2 linked regions of the Cricetulus griseus genome follow. The protein of the gene in region 1 interacts with the protein of each later gene in a biochemical or structural test. Links are inferred from orthologs where the notes say so. Each region holds a gene or a part of one and is shown in the gene's direction. Other genes may lie near its edges.

What was found.
Region 2: of the proteins of Bmp1 (region 1) and Chrd, one has a biochemical effect on the other in vitro, tested with the Homo sapiens proteins (3 studies listed by BioGRID and IntAct). The link is inferred for Cricetulus griseus from reciprocal best matches to the Homo sapiens genes BMP1 and CHRD.

What each region holds. Positions count from the first base shown.
Region 1 is NW_023276807.1:225,147,698-225,151,497, reverse strand, and holds part of Bmp1 (bone morphogenetic protein 1), read left to right. Parts: intron 1-1,984; coding exon 1,985-2,109; intron 2,110-2,643; coding exon 2,644-2,759; intron 2,760-3,800. UniProt on the Homo sapiens protein: Metalloprotease that plays key roles in regulating the formation of the extracellular matrix (ECM) via processing of various precursor proteins into mature functional enzymes or structural proteins.
Region 2 is NC_048597.1:67,916,490-67,920,915, reverse strand, and holds the start of Chrd (chordin), read left to right. Parts: upstream 1-1,508; coding exon 1,509-1,656; intron 1,657-1,827; coding exon 1,828-1,997; intron 1,998-2,378; coding exon 2,379-2,508; intron 2,509-2,642; coding exon of another isoform or gene 2,643-2,648; coding exon 2,649-2,777; intron 2,778-2,862; coding exon 2,863-2,962; intron 2,963-3,066; coding exon 3,067-3,154; intron 3,155-3,497; coding exon 3,498-3,639; intron 3,640-3,749; coding exon 3,750-3,890; intron 3,891-3,972; coding exon 3,973-4,055; intron 4,056-4,129; coding exon 4,130-4,277; intron 4,278-4,425; coding exon 4,426-4,426. UniProt on the Homo sapiens protein: Dorsalizing factor. Key developmental protein that dorsalizes early vertebrate embryonic tissues by binding to ventralizing TGF-beta family bone morphogenetic proteins (BMPs) and sequestering them in latent complexes.

The sequences.
Region 1 (3,800 bases):
GCACCAAAGACGAAGTTAGTCCTATGGGTGCCTGCAGCCCCTAAACAAAGGCCTTGTGGCTATGCCTTAGTGGCCTCTCCCATTAGTGTGGAGCTGGCAGGCCCAGGCTTTGCCCATTACTGTGTGAAGCAAGGCTGAGCTTGTCTCTCATCTGCCACCAGGGCATATTTCTTTTTCCTGTGATTCCGAGGGAGATCACCTCTTTCTAGTTTCTAGTCTGCCTCTCGCCACCTTCTTGTTTTGTTTTGCAGTTCTAGGAATTGAAACCAGGGTCTTGTGCACTCTAGCTAACATCTCCAGTCCTATTTTTACTTATTTATTAATGATTTTGCTTTTATTTGCTTTTATTTTATGTGCATCACATTTTATGTGATGGTGTTTTGCCATCATATGTGGCTGTCACATTCTCTGGAACTGGAGTTACAGACACTTGTGAGCCACCACGTGGGTGCAGGGAATTGAATCCAGGTCCTTTGGAAGAGCAGTCAGTCCTCTTAACCACTGAGCCATCTCTCCAGCCCCTAATTTTTATTTTTGAGAGAGGGTCTCACCAAGTTACCCAGACTGGTCTTGAATGTAACCCAGGCAGAGTTTGAACTTAGAATTCTTTTCTCTTTTTTTTCTTACATTTATTAATTTGTGTGCATATGTGAGCATACATGCCACATGGCACCCTGAGGAGGTCAGAGGAAAACTTCCTTTTTTTTTTCCCCAGACACGGGGTTTCTCTGTCCTGGAACTAGCTCTGTAGACCAGGCTGGCCTCAAACTCACAGAGATCCAACTGCCTGTGCCTCCTGAGTGCTGAGTTAAAGGCGTGCGCCACCACTGCCTGGCGGTCAGAGGACAACTTTCAGGAGATGTTTCTCTCCTTCCACAGTGTGGGTTCTAGGGATCGAACTCTGTTTAGCAGATGTGGTGGCATGTGTCTACTCACTAAGCTGTCTCACTAACCCTCAGACAGGTTGTCTTGCCTTTTGAGTGTCGTGCCTCAGCCTCTGAAGTAGCTCATTACAGACCAGGACTGGCTTTGTCTGCTTTGTGACTGGCTAATTAGAACAAAACTTGGCCTTTACCCTGGACCGGTCTCCATTGTCAGTTCGCAAGATACCTCCTTAACCAGGGCCTGATGTGAGGAGATTCTCCTACAGAACTGGGGGAAGTACCCCACTCCTCACACTCCTCCCTCCACTGCCCTTCCTCTACCATCCCTGTCTGGGTGGTGGCCCTTTCCCCCTTCTTCTCTAAGCTCCTCTAGACCCTTTCTTCCTGCTCTGGACCCGGGAATGGAGACAAGAGAAGAGAGTGAACTCATTCAGCCGTCCACCCCCACAGACCCTCCTTGCATTTCCCATCATACCCACACCCCCTGCTGGGCCCTGCCCAGCTGGATGTGAGTCAGGGACCCTAGGGATGGTGAGAACTGCTGTCTCCTCTTAGTTCTGCTCCTCCCCTATGGAAATACAAAGTTTAGTGGAAAGGAATTGGGAAATAGAGACACTGTGCCCTAAGAGCCGGCTGGCCACTGCGGAACCTGCTGTCAGTCTTGCTCCAATCACAGCCATGTTAGAGGGCAATGAGTTGACCCTGGGAAGTCCTGAGAGAAGTTGATTGGGACTGAGTCATCATTTGAGGTCTGAAGATGGGAGCTGGCTGGCATTGCAGAGATGACAAATGAGGGCCCAAAGCTATCCCAGGGGCTGGGATTTGAAGCCAGTCTGAACATCAAGGGCCTGGGCCCCTCATCCTCAAAGCATTTCTGCCCCCCCCAGCCCCTGTGGTGTAGCTGCCACGGAAGAGGGTAGCTGCTGGTCAGTGGGCAGCTTAATGACGGGGTGAGACATCTCCACCCTTCCCTGACCCTGCCGAGGAATGTCTGGGCCCTGGCAGTGTCATGCCCTGTGGGTGTGGATGAGCACACTTCCCTTCTTCTTTATCCACCTTCCAGAAGACTCATGTCCTCAGTCTCCTCATGTCCTCCTCAGGGGTATCTTCCTGGACACCATTGTCCCCAAGTATGAGGTGAACGGGGTGAAGCCGTCCATCGGTCAAAGGACCAGACTCAGCAAGGGGGACATCGCTCAGGCCCGGAAACTCTACAAATGCCCAGGTTAGAACAGGGAAGGGACAGACCGGGGGGGATGGAGGGTAGAGTCCAAGGAAGGCCGAGGCCAGGGCCCAGGACCACCTAGAAAGTCACAGCTGTCAGTCTCCAAGAAGGGTGTTGGGAAGGGGGAACAATAAGGAAGGGACAGTGTTTCCAGTTAAGGACCAAACTGGGGCCAGGCTGGTAGGTGGTAGGGAGGACCAGAAGGGTGAGGATAAGTAGGGGCAGGAAGGGGCAGCAACTAGCCTCTCTCCTGGGCAGTGAGGAGGAGGCGAGGCCCACCGAAAGAGCTTGACCTGAACTCTGGAATCCATGTTGCCTTGACAACAGGACATCTGGTTACCCTGGCAGCACTAGACCAGGAAAGTAGGATGGTTTCTGCTTATATGTAAGGAGGAGGGGGTGTATCTTAAAGGAACAGAACCCCTCTCTTCAGCCACTCTTGTCTCCCCAATGGATTCTAGAGCTTAGGGGTGAGCCAGAGTTGGGCGTCTGGCACCTGCAGTCAGTAGCCTGGTTACTTTTTTGCCTTGACAGCCTGTGGCGAGACCCTCCAAGACAGCACCGGCAACTTCTCCTCCCCCGAGTTCCCCAACGGCTACTCTGCCCACATGCACTGTGTATGGCGCATCTCAGTCACGCCCGGGGAGAAGGTAACTGTGATTGACCACCTGTCTGAGTCTTCCTTCCTCTCTTGGGACCCCGGAAGTGGGAGAGCATCTCCCTCCAGGAGCCTCAGCCCGTGAACTTCTGATACAGGGTGACCTACCTGGTCATCAGCATGAATGCATTAAGTATGCCATGAGGGGGGCTCCCACCAGTTCTAGCCTCACGCTGTCCCCATTCTCCCCGACCAGCTGTGCATCAGCGCTAATCTGAAGATAGTGTTGCTATGTACAGTTGCCAGGTAGTGCTATTGCGATTGTGTAGCTCTTCTTGAGTGCTTTCTAAAGTGCCTGTCATATGGCCCCTCTTTTAATTTTCATGGATGCCCTGAGTCTTCATGTTATAGAGGAGGAAACTGGATCACAGGAATATTAAGTAACTTGTCCAGGTCATACAGTTAACAAGGACAGGGTAAGATGAGAACCATTCCTAGGACTGGGTTCAATCCCAGCCTTTTCTGGGATGCCCTGGGTGGCCTTGGGTGAACCACTCAGCCCCAGCCCTTGGCTCTCTCCTCTATATCGTCAGAGCTTGAGTCAGGGATTCCCAAAGGGCCCTTCTCAGTTCTCACATGCTGTGGTCCTGAGAACAATTAAGAGCAAGGCAAATGCCTCCAGCAAGATGCTTCTGGCTATGGCCGTCCCTCCACCCCTGTGGTCTGGGACCCTCAGGTCCTGCTCTGCCTGCTGCTCATATATGCCAGCAGAGTAGAACCAAATGCGTGAGGGGCCCACAAGCTTGCCAGTGCAGTCTCCCACTGCATGGGATGGATTAGCCTTGTTTGAATACCTGAGGTGAAAAGATCTTGGGACTTCCCATACTATTCTGTTCTGTTGCTGACTCTTAATGCTGTTGGAGAAAGGGGGAGCTTCTGTCCCTGGAAACCCTCAGGGCTTCTCAAGAGCAGTCCCTTGTAAACCGCCTCCTGTTTCCCAGATAGCTCTCCAACCCAAGAAGGCTAATGTCCTCCTTTGTTTTTAAATTATATTATGTGTATGGGGTGTGTACATGTGAGTGCAGGGCCCGAA
Region 2 (4,426 bases), on another chromosome or scaffold:
GGTAGGCTGATCTCTGTGAGTTTGAGGCTAGCCTGGTCTACCTAGCATGTTCCAGCCAGCCATGGCTACATAATGAGAACCTGTCTGAAAAAGAAGGAAAACCAGACAGATTGACTGGACTCAGATGCCTTTCTTCTACAAGGGGCACAGGGACCTGAACAACTAACCACACAGCTCTGTTTGTAAGCCTGCCCTTGGTTGCCCAATGGCCCTCTCCCGTTCCTACCACTATACATGTGACAAGAGAAATAACCAGGCCCATCTGTCCCCGTCTTAGGAGAGACAGCTGCTGAGCCTCCCCCACAAATAACTCTGCTGGCTCTTCTCTTTCTTGCCTTGGTCCTGGCTCTAGCTCCGGTGCTTTCTCCTCAGTGCCTGTCTCCCCACGGTCTCTGTCCTCAGGGATCTCCTGGCCTGACCTTGTGCTCTGCCCTTGTTCTTCCTCAGGGTTTCTCCTGTGCCTGCTCTGAAGATGGGCTGTCCACTAAGGAGTATGGCCCAGATCCCGGAATTCTCTAGTTCAATCAGAAGAGATGCCTCCTAAGATTAGGAAGCCGGGTGCTGGGATGGTTGTGAGAATGGTGGGGGTGGAGGAGATGGGGAGGCAGGACAAAGGAGAGGAAAAAGAGTGGTCCCTTGGATGAAGGAAAGGGTGGGAAAGCCAGGTGATGGTTGGATGGACTTGTGAACAGGTTACAAGGGGGAGGTTATTACTCCACTGGGTGCGGGGAGCATTTCTTGATTCTGGCTTGGTCCCTGTGCCTGGGAACTCCAGAAAGAGAAGAGACCCTAGAAGGGAAAGAGGAATACAGCCTGAGTGAAAGGAGGAGGGTGCCCTGGGTCTTAGACAGGGAAGATCGTTGTCCTTTTCAAAGACAAGTCCTCATCCTCCAGGGCCCATCCTGCCCATGAGTGGTACAGGCCGGAGGCCCAGCCTCTGCCCTTTCACTTAGCTTGAGGCTCCTGTCTCTCTGGATGGATACCACAGGGGTGGCCGCAAGGAGTGTGTGTGGGGGTGTCGAAGCCCGCCTCTCCTCCCCCCCTTTGCGCCCCCTGGTTCCTCCCTTCCCCCTGCCCACTCCGCTCCCCCCTCCTCCAGTCCCTCCCTCCTCCCCTGCCGGGTCCCAGCCTGTCCCCCTCCCCCACTCGCGATCCGGCCGCTGCTGCTGGGCCGGACCCCCCGGGCTCAGCCGGGCTCCTTGCGGAGCCGCCGCCGCGCCCCGTTTGCTGAGGAGGAGGCCCCGGGCCGGGACTCCTGGCGCGGGCATAAAACGGGCCGGAGCCAGCGCCTAGGGCACTACAGCGGCGTACGGCCCGGGTCAGCGCCCAGCCGCCCGAGCTCTCCCGCCCCGCCCGGCCGGGAGCGGACTCCGCGACTGCGAGACGAGCCCCTCGCCACTGCCCCCCTCCTGGCCCCGGCCCCCTCCCGCCGGCCCGCCTCCGGTCCGGCCCTACTCCCTCTCCTGCTCCCTCCTCCCGCCCGCCTCCCCAGCTGTCCGCTCCGCGTCATGCCGAGCCTCCCGGCCCCGCCGGCCCCGCGGCTGCTCCTCGGGCTGCTGCTCCTCGGCTCGCGGCCGGCCGGTGGCACTGGCCCCGAGTCCCCCGCGCTGCCCATCCGTCCTGAGAAGGAGCCGCTGCCTGTTCGGGGAGCGGCAGGTAGGTGGGCTCCAGGGGGGAGGCGCGGGCGGGGAGTCTGGCTCGGGGCAAGTCTGCACCCACCGGGACAGGGCCCCGGGCGCAGGTGGCTCGGCGCAGCGGGAGGGCGGGAGGGGTAAGCAGAGGCGGCGGGGCGCAACGGTGCCAAGGGACCCAGGGCCTGGCGGGCAGAGCTCGGAGCAGGCATTACGGCACGAGCAACCGGACAGCGGCCGCCAGCCAAGCCCGTCCCCACAGGCTGCTCCTTCGGCGGGAAGGTCTATGCCTTGGACGAGACGTGGCACCCGGACCTGGGGGAGCCTTTTGGGGTGATGCGCTGCGTGCTGTGCGCCTGTGAAGCGGTGAGTGGATACCGCAGCTGCCCGCCCTACCCTAGAGGGTAGCGGAACGCTGGCGTCCTAAGCCGTAGTAGCCTCGGAGATGCTCAGGGGAAGGCTGGTCCTCAAATCTGGGGAAACCCCTTTCAAGTCTGCGGTGTTGACAGTTATTGATCGCCCACTATGTGACTGGCTTTTAGCCAACTTCCCCCATCCCATTGCAACCTTGCTAGATAAATGGCATTAATTAGCCTTACTTTGCAGACTTAGAGAAGTTAAGAAACTTGTCCAGGGTCATGTAACTTGTAAATAGCGGAGCTGACTGATTCCAGCAGAGGACCTTACCCTGGCGTCTGATGGTTGCACGTTACACTCACTTAATTTCCCTGTGTTCTCTGCCATCAGCCTCAGTGGGCTCGCCGTGGGAGGGGCCCTGGCAGGGTCAGCTGCAAGAACATCAAACCCCAGTGCCCCACCCTGGCCTGCAGGCAGCCGCGCCAGCTGCCAGGACACTGCTGCCAGACCTGCCCGCAGGGTGAGGCCCACTGTCTCCCGTGTTAGGGAGGGTGGAAGGCTCAACACTAGGTTCTGTGCGGCTTGGATCGCTGAGGAGGACTGGCCCTCCTGGTACCCTGCTGAATCTAGTGGTCTTATTCCTTACCCCCCCCAACGCAGAGCGCAGCAATTTGGACCGACAGCCAGCTGGCCTAGTCTTCGAGTATCCAAGGGACCCAGAGCACCGCAGTTACAGCGATCGAGGGGATCCCGGCGCTGGCGAGCGGACACGTGCTGATGGCCACACGGGTAGGCTGGGGTGGAAGTGGGCCTGACGAAGTTTGGGGCCAGCGGCAAGGGTTGACAGTGCTTAGGCCATCCTCTCTTCTCACAGATTTTGTGGCGCTGCTGACAGGACCGAGGTCGCAGGCGGTAGCTCGCGCTCGAGTCTCTCTCCTGCGCTCAAGTCTTCGCTTCTCTATCTCCTACCAGCGGTGAGACCAGGGAAAGAGCAGCGCGGCTAGGAGTAGTGAATGGGGGCATGAAAGGGGGAAGACTGCGGGTTCTGGATCCAGTCTCACTGGACCTTTCTTCACAGGCTGGACCGCCCCAGCCGGGTTCGGTTCACAGATCCCACCGGCAACATCCTGTTTGAACACCCTGCTGCCCCCACCCAGGATGGCCTGGTGAGATGATGCCACTTACGTGTACTTATCCAAAATGGGCACTTGCTGAGAGCATGGTTGGCATTGCCTCCTTTGGTTCTCACAACAGCCCAGTGGGAGAAAGGCCCTGACATTATGATGCCCATTTTACAGAGGAGGGAACTGAGGCTCAGAATAGCAGAATGTGATTTGTTCAAGGTCATTTGGCTAGCAAGTGGTAAGCCAGGACTTGAACTCAAGGATCCTGGGTCCTTTTTAGGAGGGTCTGGGGTCTCCCTTCCATACTCCTCCCTCACCAGGACTGGGCCTCTTAGCTGGCTTGTCCTGCATAGTGACTGTAGACTTCCTTGTCTCTTTGCTGTAGGTTTGTGGGGTGTGGCGTGCAATGCCTCGGCTATCTCAGAGGCTCCTGAGGGCAGAACAGCTGCATGTAGCCCTGGTGACACCCACTCACCCTTCAGGAGAAGTCTGGGGGCCTCTCATTTGGCAAGGTGCTCTGGCTGCAGGTAGGAAGAGTGAAGAGTTCCCAGATAGAAAAGACTGAGCCTTCTCTATCCAGGGGTGGGTGGACTCACGAGAGGCTCCTCTGATGGCTGTCATGCCCTCCATTCCCCAGAGACCTTCAGTGCCACCCTTACTCTGGAAGGCCCACAGCATCGGGGTGTAGGGGGCATAGCCCTGCTCACCCTCAGTGACACAGAAGACTCCTTACATTTTTTGTTGCTCTTCCGGGGTCTGCTGGGACCCAGGAATGAAGGTAAGCAGGTGAGAAGGCGTCCGGTGAGAGTATAGGGAGGGAGCTCAACTTTCAGAAATGCTCACATGTGCAGCCCTTGCAGGTCCCGCTCAGGTTCCCCTGAGGCTTCAGATTCTCCACCAGGGACAGCCACTCCGAGAGCTCCAGGCCAACACCTCAGCTGAGGTAAGGGGAGGCCTGGGTCTTGCTGCTGCTTGCTCTGGCCTCTTGTTGTCCACCACATTCCGCTCTGTTCCCAGGAGCCAGGTTTTGCTGAGGTGCTGCCCAGCCTGACAGACCAAGAGATGGACTGGCTGGTGCTGGGGGAGCTGCAGATGGTCCTAGAGAGGGCAGGTGGGCCAGAGCTACGCATCAGCGGATACATTACCGCCAGGCGGAGCTGTGACGGTGAGGCAGGGTGGGGCTCGGCGCTGTGGGCACACACAACTTAGAGGCACAAACATGAGCTAAAGAAGAGGTCAAGGAAGATGTGGGAGAGAGTTCCTGGGGGTTCTGGGTGTGGGCAAGCCCACTGCTACCTGTCTTGCCCCTGCAGT